2 linked regions of the Neodiprion lecontei genome follow. The protein of the gene in region 1 interacts with the protein of each later gene in a pairwise test. Links are inferred from orthologs where the notes say so. Each region holds a gene or a part of one and is shown in the gene's direction. Other genes may lie near its edges.

Region 1 (6,007 bases):
AAAATTATTGAATCATTGGAAGAATAAAAAAGTTAACAAGTTACGATAAAAGGGAGCAATTTCTGCAATTAATGACTTAAAGGTATATTATATTTCAAAATTTAAATAAAATACCCTGACTTTTCCTGACTTTCCAGATTTGTGACGATCCTGCCTACGTACCTCCAGATACTTCTTGGTGCCTGGCTGTGCGCAATGATAAGCAATTATCGATGGGAATTGTCCCTGCAAAACCGCTTCTGCGCCTTTATTTGCCAGCATAGTAGAAAATACAAATATCTGGCTCTGCTGTTGCATGTACTGAGCATCCCCTCCGCCTGTGCCAGTGCCCATTTGCTTGGCAAGCACATTGCTCACTAGGGGTTGAATTCCGTCAGACGAGAGTCCAACGCTTGCTGCGCAGTCTGGGTAAAATAATAAATAGTAATCGTTAATCTATGCCCAAGGTGAAAAATTAACCAAGATACCGAGTGCGCACCATTTTGCAGATCATCGCCAGGATGGTTCTGTTCATTTTCCTGTTTTACAGAGCCAAGTATGGATTGATTATTAGTACTATTTTGATTTTCTTGAGACATAGTGCCATCCGTGTGATTGGGATCGATGTTTGAATCCCTTTGGCATTCCGTCGATTCCTCCCTGATGGTGTTCTCATTATTGCCAGTTCCTGCTACCCCGGACTCCTCCTTTATTTTAACCGAATCTGTATCAGGTTCCTCCTTGACGACGGTGGTCGTAACGCACGTTGCTTCGCTCGATTTTTTCTCCGTTTTCATTTTCGTATTATCGGAGACGAGCGACGACGACGTCAAACGGCTGTTGATACTTTTTCACCACTGAGCAGCATGGCCAGTCTAGTTTTTCAATCCATCCATGATTAAGGATACAATTCCACCGATACAACATCCAATGATTAACTCAAGATATTCTTTAGATCTCTTGTCCGTCAAGAAAGATTGGAAAAAAAAAATACCCAAAAAAACACAGGAGCGAAAAGATGAAAAGAAATAAAAATAAGAATATCCAATATCCACACTCGAGCACACACACGCGCGAGAAAAGCACAAAACTGAAAAACTCGTGATATGCGAAGTGAGAATAAATTTTTAAAAAAAGTATGTAGGAACTACGTATTACGTGCACTGATCAAGGCAGCAGCGTGTCCCCGACCAGAAGCATGTTTTGGCTTCACCTTCGGCCAGCAGAGTGTTATTGTTCGGCTGGGACGCGGGGGAGGAATCACCTGATGCGAGAATGGAGGTTGAAATTGCTTTACTTCACGCAGGATACGTCGCACTTGTTCGCACGGACAGTTGTTTATTATCCGATTTTATAGGCACTGGGAGAACTGGGTTGATGGTAAAACGCTCCGCTCGACGGCGGATTGAGTTCAGAGTCGCGAGAGTCGAGAGGCCGAAATGTCAGCCCATAAAGCCTCGGATTACCGAGGTCTGCATGCCTTCGGCCGTGGAAAATTTTTTATCCGTTATACAGACGCCGGTATTACTGTTATTGAGGCTTGTCCACCGATCGACGACGTTACACTTGATTTTCACCGCCTAGAACCTCAGCATTGTGTTTCTTCAGCTTTTATTTGTCACTTCATGGTCGCTTTGCTTATTTATTTCTTTTCAAACACGCTTGCCAACCCCTAGCCAATTGTTAATTCATCAAGGGTATACACGGTATACAATATCAGATTTTGTTACTAGATTTTTCGTTCAGATCTGCCACTATTAAGTGCAGTATTGCCATGTATATTATGTACGGTGCATTCAACCATTTGCTGGGAGTTCTGACGATGATCGGTGGTTCTGTGTTTCACCCGCTCTACTTGGATTGTTGGTGATCTCTATTTCACTTCTAGAGAATTAGGTCCATGAATTTTCAGCGCTACCGCAGTTCATTTTGTAACTCAGCCATGGGAAAAGGAACGAATATAGTTCACGGACAGTGCCCGAAATTTTGAAACACGACCGAACGTTGTATAGTTAGTCCATATGATAAAGTAACACAAGCGCGAGGTGCTGCCATCTAACGTTTTATCTCGCTCGTAAATGCGTGGCGAAAAGTGTGCAACATTATAAAATCATTACTCGGGCTGGTATGTGTGAAAGATAAAAATTGGATACAAAAATAACAATAAAATAAAAATTATCGACCGATCTATTCGTAGACAAAGCGATGAAAGGATAAAAGTGACGAAAGAATCTCCGGCTGAAATCCATACCGTGAGATATCAGCGGCGACCCAGTAGAAACAATATCGGACAACTAGTGCGTGTTGAACCAGTGACGCCGCAACACAAAGAAATTACGCATATGAACAAGCGCAATAGCGACAGACGCGACAGCATCGAACTGCAGTGCGAGTCAGGATAGTTGCTAGAACTACGCAAGATTCTACAAGCAACGTTGAGGAGGAGACATTTTCATCGCGTTTATAGGCGATAGAATTCGATCACCGAGTAACGGTAATAAAAGCATCCTATCGTTTGACAATAAAAGAAGTGTGTTAGGCGGGGGGTAAAGCGCATCGGCATGAGTGCGTGTTTACGTTCGGTACCAAAACACCAATGACCTTGAAACTCGTGATTATTCGGGGGTCACGTGACGCACGGGACGGCCAGGGATTGGCGGACCGCGACGCGTACCCTGCGCCCCTGGGATGCTCGATAGATCGTTTCGCAAGATGAAGTCCGAATCAAAACCTTTGTTGACAGCTCAAACAGAAAAGGCGAATCATTACACGTAAGTAGTGCCTGGCGGGGCCCCCGAGTGTGACGACAGACAGTGGTGCAGTGCTCACGGTCCAGTGTACAACGAATAATGTGTAGTTCTGTGGATTCGCATTCCAGATATTTGAAGGAATTCCGCGTGGAACAATGCCCCCTCTTTATACAACGCAAATGCACCCAGCACAGGCCCTTCACCTGCTTCAACTGGCACTTTATGAACCAGCGGCGACGAAGGCCCGTAAAAAAACGTGATCGGACCTTCAATTACAGCGCCGACAATTACTGCACCAAGTACGATGAGACAACCGGCCTTTGTCCCGACGGAGACGAGTGAGTACTTCCTTATCTCCCCTCCCCATCCCCATCCCCCTTTACCCTCCGTCCAACACCCACCCGCTTTTTTTTCTTATCGTCGCCCATATTTAACCACCCTTGGAAGCTCGAACATTATTTTCTTACATCATTCGGACCGCGCTACCCGCCAATTTCTCACGCCGTCGCGGCTCTCCACACGATTTTCGCATTATTTTCACACACGCCAGGAGCTGATTTTGCACAAAGGAACTCTGTCGGTATTGATTTTCTCCTACTTATCCTAACAACAAAGAACCAACACTGCCTTGTACTCTTTCATATTATTGTCATTTATCCTACACAGTTGTTTGTTCACCAATAATAAATCCATACTGTATACCAGGGATGGCCAACCGATCGATCGATCCTGGCTACCAGGCCAGTCGATCGCGACAAAGCAAAGAAAAATACATAACTGTCAAACAAATATTTCTTGTAATTCTGCGGTAAAGATTTGAGATTGGTAGATCGCACAGAGTCTGGACAGTAAACGATAGATCTCGGGTCCGATCAAGTTGGTTATCCCTGCTGTATACCGACGATCGTTCTACAATTTGACCACTTCACTAGTCATTGTTGTTTACTGGTTAATTTGCAGAACCAAAGTGACCTGCTTACCTGCGTTACCAATTTCATATTATCTTTGTTATGTCCGCGTTACAAATAATGCATTCTAAACTTCTATTTCCTTCAATGATTACACCGTCAGCAAATGAGAGCTGATGACCCAATGGATAAATGGTCAAAAAGCATCAGGTTCATTCTGTACAGAGTTGTTGTCTAGGCTCTAATCATTATTGTGGCTTGCCGTTTGCCTCAAGTTTAACAGACTGTCTAAAAACTTGCTTAAATTTCTTGTAGTTGGCCAAACTATAGGTGATATTGGTTAAAAAGAATTTAATCCCCTTAGAATGAATAATATTGAGTGTTTTACATCTCGTACTGTTAAAAAATAGATCAGTTATTTTTAGCGAATATGAAGGATTATCAAAACGTTCTGTAAAATATACACAGCATTCCTTTAATCGTATTTAAGGATGCAGGTTCTACGTCATCGTCAATGTCACAAATTATCCAGAATATGGCATCATAGAATTTTGACTCGGGACTATGTAATTTCACAAAACTATATTTTAGTTCGAATCGTCATTCGGGGGATAAATTTTAAATTTGATACGTTCATTGGTTCTTAATTTCTGTTAATTAGAATCAGCCAATCGATGCCTTTTTCAATAGTAGGGAACGCAAAGGCAAAGTAGAATGATTGGGTTTTAAATTTCTGCCTGGTCCAGATGTCCGTTCCTGCACCGTACTGCGGGGGATACGGAGAGACGGTATCACCTCCGCTACTACAAAACCTGCATGTGCGTTCACGACACCGATTCAAGGGGTTTCTGCGTAAAAAATGGTCCACACTGCGCGTTTGCACATGGAAATCATGATCTGCGACCGCCGGTATATGACATCAAGGAGATTCAGGCCCTTGAGAACCCAGATTCAGATCCAAACTCGTCGACGAATGGGCCAAACATACTGGATAAAGAAAGGAATCTCATGAACGAAGACCCCAAATGGCAGGACACCAATTATGTACTAGGAAATTACAAGACTGAGCCGTGCAAACGACCGCCTCGGCTCTGCAGGCAAGGCTATGCCTGCCCGCAGTATCATAACAGCAAAGACAAAAGGCGCAGCCCTAGGAAGTACAAGTACAGGTGAATTTTTATAATTATTCTGTGCATTCATATACGATTAGGTATCACCCTTGGTATCACCCTTGGTATCAAAATGATGTTTTTCAATATCAAATTCCTTCAAAGATCCACACCGTGTCCAAATGTTAAACATGGGGAAGAATGGGGTGAGCCTGGTAACTGCGAGCAAGGCGATGCCTGCACTTATTGCCACACGCGAACAGAGCAGCAGTTTCATCCGGAAATATACAAGTCTACAAAGTGCAACGACGTGCAGCAGGCTGGTTATTGTCCTCGCGGCGTATTTTGCGCCTTCGCACACGTTGACCGTGAGTGTAACCTCATCAATCGTACGTAACAATGTCTTTTCATAAAGATTGTAAGCTTAGGATGTGTGATAAATGTACTTTACTAGCTTGACGTGACACATTATTTTATTTGTGTAAATTTTTATTCTTGACTGTTCTCTCGCAAAACACAATTTCCTTCCTTCAAAGCATGCATTTAAACAAATTAATTTCCAGTCCAGCTGTAGAAGATCATGCTAATAAATGTGTTTATCGTAATTCAATTTTGATTATATTTTTTTTTTAAATTTATTCATTTGAATTTTGGCCATTTCTCGGGTTTACAATTTCACAAATTTTATAGTATTTTCGTAAAACAGTAAACAGTCGAGTTTCAGATTTGGAATGAATAATGGTAATAATTGAATTTGGGCTGCATGAATATTGACTTGCGTGATTTGGGGAAACTGGTCAAGTTGCGATCGTAAATCATGTTAGTTCTTTCTTTTGTAAAGACTTCTCCACTATGAAATCTAGTCAATAGTTTGTCAGTAAATTGTAAATTGCCATTATATTCTATGCTTGAGTCGTTTGGGTTTCATCTTGTGTTAAACCATAAACTTAACTGTGAGAATCGCTCAAGATTGATATATTGAAAAATTGGTACGGTATGCTGATGGAGCAGTCTTGCCAACAGAAGAAATGAGCCTCGCGAGGGATATGGCCGTGCCTCTTGACGGCACCAACATCGCCGACCTAATAAGCAGCGTTCTGACACCCGACAAAAAGCTTCACGACAAGGATAAACCACCGAGCGATAGCAGTGTAAGTCTATATGTTCCTATTCTTCATTAATTTCATACTCATTGTCTGAGCTAAACGAGACCGAAGGCAACCTCGGATACATTGAGAAAACTCTTGACAATGGCACGGAT
Region 2 (6,158 bases), on another chromosome or scaffold:
TATGTATACATATATTTATTTTATTATCTTTTTCCCCCAAGTCCAGTTATAACATATATCTTAATAAACGTTTCATTTTTATGTATTCCCTGAATAAGGTTTAATTATTCCGACGAGGATAATAAAAGGTGTGGTGTATCGGTACGGTAAAATAACGATTTTTCACGGTAGAAACTTAAAGCATCCGGTTGAAATTTTTCGAAACGGCTTATGAGTATTTTTATTCCTCAATCTTTTAGCCTCGATTTCCCATTTGATTTTTTATTTCGACACATTTCGTTCGATAGTTATGATTGTTCTTCGAACTATTTTTTTTCATAGGATTCTAGTGGAAAGTTTGAAGATGGTATAAGAGTTTTTTTAGATTTTTCACAACAGATAAATTTGGTAAAAAACGTACCGGACAAAATGACGCAGGTTTCCGAAATAAGGGTGGCGAAAAAAGCATTTCAGGCTTAAGGGTTGATATCTAGAAGTTAGGTTTTTGCAAAAATCGTTGTTTCGAAAATTCAGCGTCGTCTGAAATTCGGTGAAATTTTATTACGAAAGCCCGATCGCGATTTCTTATTTTTCGATGCCGCTTCTTCAATTTTGCGTATAAGCAAAATGTATCCGCGTGTTTTTCCACAAAAATGCATACGTAGCATCTTATAACAGCGAAAGTAGAAGAAATTCAACGAATTCGGTGAGGTCTAATTATGGCATCTCCTTAATGTATGCATATGTACACTTATACATCCGTAAATATCAAAGTTCACGAATCTAAACTAAAAAGGGACTTAATAGCCCGATTCTATACGCAATTCCGAACAAAAACACTTCAACGGATTTTCATTTGACTCTGAAATAAAGAAATAACACGAATTCTACGAAATCGCAATACTAAATTCGTAGAATTTATGCCATTTCTTTATTTCTGGGTCAAATGAAAATCCGTTGAAGCGGTATTGTTCAGAATAGTGTGTCGAACGGGGCTGTCAGCCCTTTTTCGCGTCTGAAATACGTGGACTTCGATATTTCGCGATACGTAGGTCAAATGGTCGAAATCAAGCGGGGCACCCCGTCGAGACAACGATCTTGAAACACGAATCGAGCGATAATTCAAGGAATTCAAGAATGCAAGCTCGAGCTCCGGAAGTTCGCGAATAAAATAAAATCAGCAAGGTGCCTCAGATTTCCACCGACAAAATATACTACACCGTACAACAACGTAGGTAAATAAAAGTGTATCTTACCTCCGTCGTATCTCCGTGCGGGTCCCAGCTGTCGTGTAAATAGAACATGGGGTCAAGGTCAAGCGGTAGTAGCGTGGTACTAAGGCAGGACAGCAGAGGCGTAGAGGCACGTGCAGCGTGTGTATCTAGACGCAATAAGTACATCAGAATCTTCAAAAATGATGCAGAAAGGAGCATTCTTATCTATAAGATATAATAATTACACTGTGCTTAGTTGGATCGGATACATCCGCGTAGATAGACGCGAGCGTTGAAATTAGGATGGCCACTAAAACCTCCGTCCCGAAATTCCCGGAATTTTACAGATTTTCCAGACGAAAATATTACCGTTTTTCCCGACCAATTTGAATAAACAATTTTGCAAGTATTTGATCTAATTTATCTAAGGAACAAAAAAATTTTGCGATGTATTTTTACGAACGAAAATATACAGTAAACTATTCCCTAACTTTTCGCCCCCCCCCCCCCCCCCTCGCCACCCCCCGGATATTTCCTTGATTAACCCAGAATTTCAGAATTCCCTGACCTGAGTCGATTTCGACGTTGACGCACGTATCTCCGAACGTCCAAGTCGACGTTTGTCAAACGCGCAAAACGGCTCAACAGGCAACGCTGGACAAAAGTACTTCGGCAGATTTTCGTTTGACGCAAGAATAAAGAAACAACGGCATGATGTCTACGAATTGACTAATGCAATTTATTACGATTCAAGCCAATTCTTTGTTTCCGCGTCAAGGAAAATGGCGTTTGGAGCGTTCCTCTTTTGTTGTTTAACGGAAGGTGCCTGTTGAGCAGTTTTGTCGCCTTCGAGACACGCGTATATAGATATTCGAATTGTACGTACGTCCTGCATCACATCGAAATCAATCAAGGGGGGGGGGGATCCTCTTAAAGGAGTTACAAACTTGGCTAGCGAATCGTTTGGAATGAGAATTTAATTGCCCCGCAGCACCTGTACACGTACACAAGGCGACCGTACGCGCCGACTGGTACATACCATCAACCTCTCCACGGGTGTTGGACGGAGATCTTTCTCGATGGTATACCAGGGAGAAGGGCGCCGAGGGAAGGGAAGGGAAGGCAAGGGAAGGGAAGGGAAGGGAAGGGAGGGCGCACACACGCAAACACGCACACTCGACGACGAGTGCATGCGGCAGCGGGAAAGCTCGGCTAGCCGGCCGGCGTTGCGTTACGTTGGGTTGCGTTGCGACGGCGGGACGCGCGGCGCCAACGGCGGTCATCGATTGGCCCGCTAGCCGTGACCCCCACCACACGCTTTCGCTTTCATCCAATCGGGTCTCACTTTCGCGCTCGGCCGGTGTGCCGGGCACGCAGCGAGGAAGCTTGGCACGCCGGCTGGCTCAGTAGTGACTGCCTGACTGGTGCAGTAACAATCCTGCTTGGAACTGATCGAGACTAAATTGCGACGCCGCCTCTCGCTGTGTTTCGCGTGTTAATAATAACAAATCCCACCCTGCCCCGAGCTGGGCTCTGCGTCCGATACTGACTAACGATAATAAGTAAGAAGCGTTGGGCGCTCTGTTGTTATACCTACGTATCGCGAAAAGAAAGCGAGACGGTGAAACGGAGAGAGACGGAGAGTGCGAGGGCGTTTTGCAGCTGCGGTCACACGGCCGATTATTTGAAACGCGATTACTTTACTTTCGTTATTTTTCACATGTAAAACGAAAACCTAACCGGTGTATACGGCTTCCCATTATTATTCTCAACTACTCTTAACAGCTTTATACCGTTCATCGATAATGCAACAACGATCTTGTCGCACGAAACCTCGAGATATTTCTACGATGTGACACGGAACTTTGACGATCGACGGCGTGTCTATCCGTATCCGTATATCCGACGGAGTGAAACTGTTCTCGGTTTTCGTGTTTGTTTGTGTTTGTTTGGTTGTTTTTTATTTTTTTGTTTTTTTGTGTGTTACTCACTGTGTTTGTGTTGCTTGAACGTATCGGCGAAAATTGACGAGATACAAAGAAACGGAGACGAATCGCCGATACAGAAGGCGGACGTAAGCGTTGTTATTATGACAACTTCGGAGTGCCGCTGCAGCTGCGACGAGGTCGCGGTCGGTTTTCCGTAGCCAAGGGGTGAATAGAGATTGAAAAGAAGAGCATCGCTGGCTCCGTTAACTTCTATCCAACGCGTATTGTTCGCTTGTTTGTCGGCTCTCGGAAATATTTCGCGGCGCGAGAAAAGTGTGTGAGAACGTACATTGCAAAATTATTGCGCGATAAAAGTAAGAGAATAATAACAAAAAATCATACCACGTGTCCGAATCTTCGTCGTTTCCCCTGTTCTCGATTTCGGATGAAAACACGCCGCTGTCTGTGGACCGAGGAACGGCCGTTCCGGAACGTCGAATAAACAATCGAAAATCGTAGCTCCGCCACCTAACGAGTCAACGCGGTTAGGCCTTTTGTTACCCTTAAAGTGCGGGAAATTAGTAATGGCGCCTAGACGACACGCCAACGGTCACGGAGGGTTGCTCGAGGGCGGTGGAAACGAGCTTGCGGACATGGTGGCCAACGGAAACGGTGGTCATCAGCAGCACAACAACAACAACAACAACAACAACAACGGAACAGCCGTAACAACGACACGATGCTGCGCACCGAGCGGCGAGTGTCTGAGAGGCGATTCACCGATCCGAATGGGCCTGCTTCAGGAGGCGGTGAAGGTCACCTGCAACAACGAGAGCTGTCCGGTGGGTCAGTTTATGCATAGAGAGTGCTTCGAGGCGTGGGAACAGACGGTACTGACCTACCTTAAGGGCTGCGGACGCGCGAGGAGCTGGTCCGAAAGACAGCGGCATCAAAACCTCTGGACCAAGAAGGGTTACGACCTGGCGTTCAAGGCCTGCGGCTGCCGATGCGGCAGGGGTCATCTAAAAAAGGACCTCGACTGGATGCCACCCGGATTGGCATCAGCCGTCGGGCAGCGGCCCGAGGATGCCGAGGCGAAGAAGAAGAAGCGTCGCAACAGGCAGAACACAAGGCCCTCGCTCGCCATATCGGCCGGACACCCGGGGCCTCACGGTGGGCCCGTTACGAGGTCCTCCGAGGTACAGATGATCGAGTCGAGTCGCGGAAGGGCCGGATCGCTGTCCTCGAGTACCGGGTCCAGTTCACCCCCAGCTACAAGCGAACCCTCCGTCAGTCCTCTTCATCAGCCGCAGTCCGGTTCCAAGAAGAAGAACAAGGTCGACTTCTTCAGCGATCGCGCTAGGTGAGCAGAGAAAATTTTATTTCTCTATTTTATTTTTGCTCGTTTCTTACGAGGCTTGCGTTGGTAACACGTTTGATCGTTAAACAAGAGATTTACGGAACTAGGATTGTCGATGTACGAATGTCTTTTGTTTTATTACGGTTCGTCGTGTTACGGACAATTCTAAAATCGCGAAACGACGGAATTTCGTTAATCGTTGCGATAACGTTAACAACTTCATTACGATCGGTTCTTCTTTCGAGTGGCGGCGATTGACGAGGCTGAAGTTGGCAACGCTGACTCGACCGAGACGCGAGAGAAAAGTTTGTTATTCCGCAATTTTTAGAATACGACATCCGTGTGAAGTTCGGTTTTCAAGTTATGAGTGTGTTTTGTTTATTATGCCTATGACGATTGATCGTTATTACGGTAATAAGAGGCCGAGGTTGGCGGTAAGTAGAAAAGTAAGGATATATAATCATGCGGATGAAGTTGGTCAGGTTACGGTAACGGTGCGTGTTTAAGAAAAATCGCGTTATTTTGTACATTTAGGATTATCTGAAATTTAGTGAACTATGACAAAGCAAACGTGCTCAAAAATATTTTTAATACATGACTCCTTGAAAGTTATTGAGAAATTGCACGGTAAGATTTTTTTTTCTCCCTTGACATTTCGTTACGTTAACCTTGCTAACTTCAGTCTCGTGACAAATCGCCGTTTCGAAATTTTACACTCACTCTCGAAGTTGTCAAGTTTTCGAAATAATATATTTACAATTCTTACCATGATTTACTGGACTTTGGATATTTTTAAAATTGCGAGTTAACGATTTTTTTTCTTCGAAACTCTAATCGTTACAATAACGTTAATAACCTCAGCTTTGTCTGAATATTTAATTATCATTATTCTCTCACTGATTGTTATGTGTTTTTGTACCGTCTGTTTTTATCGTTTCGTTTTACTACAGGAATTTTATCAGGTCTCAACTTTCTAACGTAGTTTGCAGCGATGCGTTTAAAAAAAAAAAAAACTCATCAGGCACCGTTAAAACAGGATTAACAAAGTTAAATATTGTAAACTCAACATCTTCGGTTATTTCGAAGCTGCAAATTGGTAATGTTAGTTTACATCAACGACGCTAACCTGAGCCTCGTGGAATTTCAACGGATTTTCAAATTCCGGAATACGGGTATGTAACCGAATTTTCCAAAATATTATCCGCATTATCCATAATGATGCAAAAAATTAAATAATAATGTCGAAATGTCTTTGAAAAACTTTGAGATGCCAATTCAGAAAATTAATCATCTTTCCTTACTACTTTTTGGTCGTTTTTTCAATATTCGCTTCCCGCTGTAAACCTCGAATACCTACACAATTAACAAATTGATCAACGTAAACAAGATTTATCGTCGTTGCGAAATATTTCAGCCTCCTTATCGTAGTATTAGATAGATGATGCAGTAATTGCGAAAAATTTGGTAATATCCGATGATGAATCATCACTCGATGACTGAGAACGTGAAGAAATGATTTATAGCCGTTGGGTCTGTTACATCCATGAAGTAATAGTAGATCTTGTAAAAGAAACTCTGAAAACACGTGATGCTGCTGCTCTCCTCACCCGTCGACCCCATGCTTCGAAAAGAGGCGAGAGAGAGAGAAAGTAAATCTTGACCCTGAAAAACACCGCG

The links. The genes of interacting proteins can lie anywhere in the genome.
Region 2: the proteins of putative E3 ubiquitin-protein ligase UNKL (region 1) and headcase protein interact in binary tests that used the Drosophila melanogaster proteins (3 or more experiments, as listed by UniProt). The link is inferred for Neodiprion lecontei from reciprocal best matches to the Drosophila melanogaster genes unk and heca.

The regions. Positions count from the first base shown.
Region 1 is NC_060264.1:35,194,495-35,200,501, forward strand, and holds the start of putative E3 ubiquitin-protein ligase UNKL, read left to right. Parts: upstream 1-2,120; 5' UTR 2,121-2,667; coding exon 2,668-2,750; intron 2,751-2,836; coding exon 2,837-3,067; intron 3,068-4,383; coding exon 4,384-4,806; intron 4,807-4,911; coding exon 4,912-5,135; intron 5,136-5,748; coding exon of another isoform or gene 5,749-5,757; coding exon 5,758-5,897; intron 5,898-6,007. Other genes in the region: protein BCL9 homolog, read right to left, coding at 163-404, 479-776. UniProt on the Drosophila melanogaster protein: Essential for late larval/early pupal development.
Region 2 is NC_060263.1:4,791,689-4,797,846, reverse strand, and holds the start of headcase protein, read left to right. Parts: upstream 1-2,588; 5' UTR 2,589-3,705; coding exon 3,706-4,484; intron 4,485-6,158. UniProt on the Drosophila melanogaster protein: Required for imaginal cell differentiation, may be involved in hormonal responsiveness during metamorphosis. Involved in an inhibitory signaling mechanism to determine the number of cells that will form unicellular sprouts in the trachea.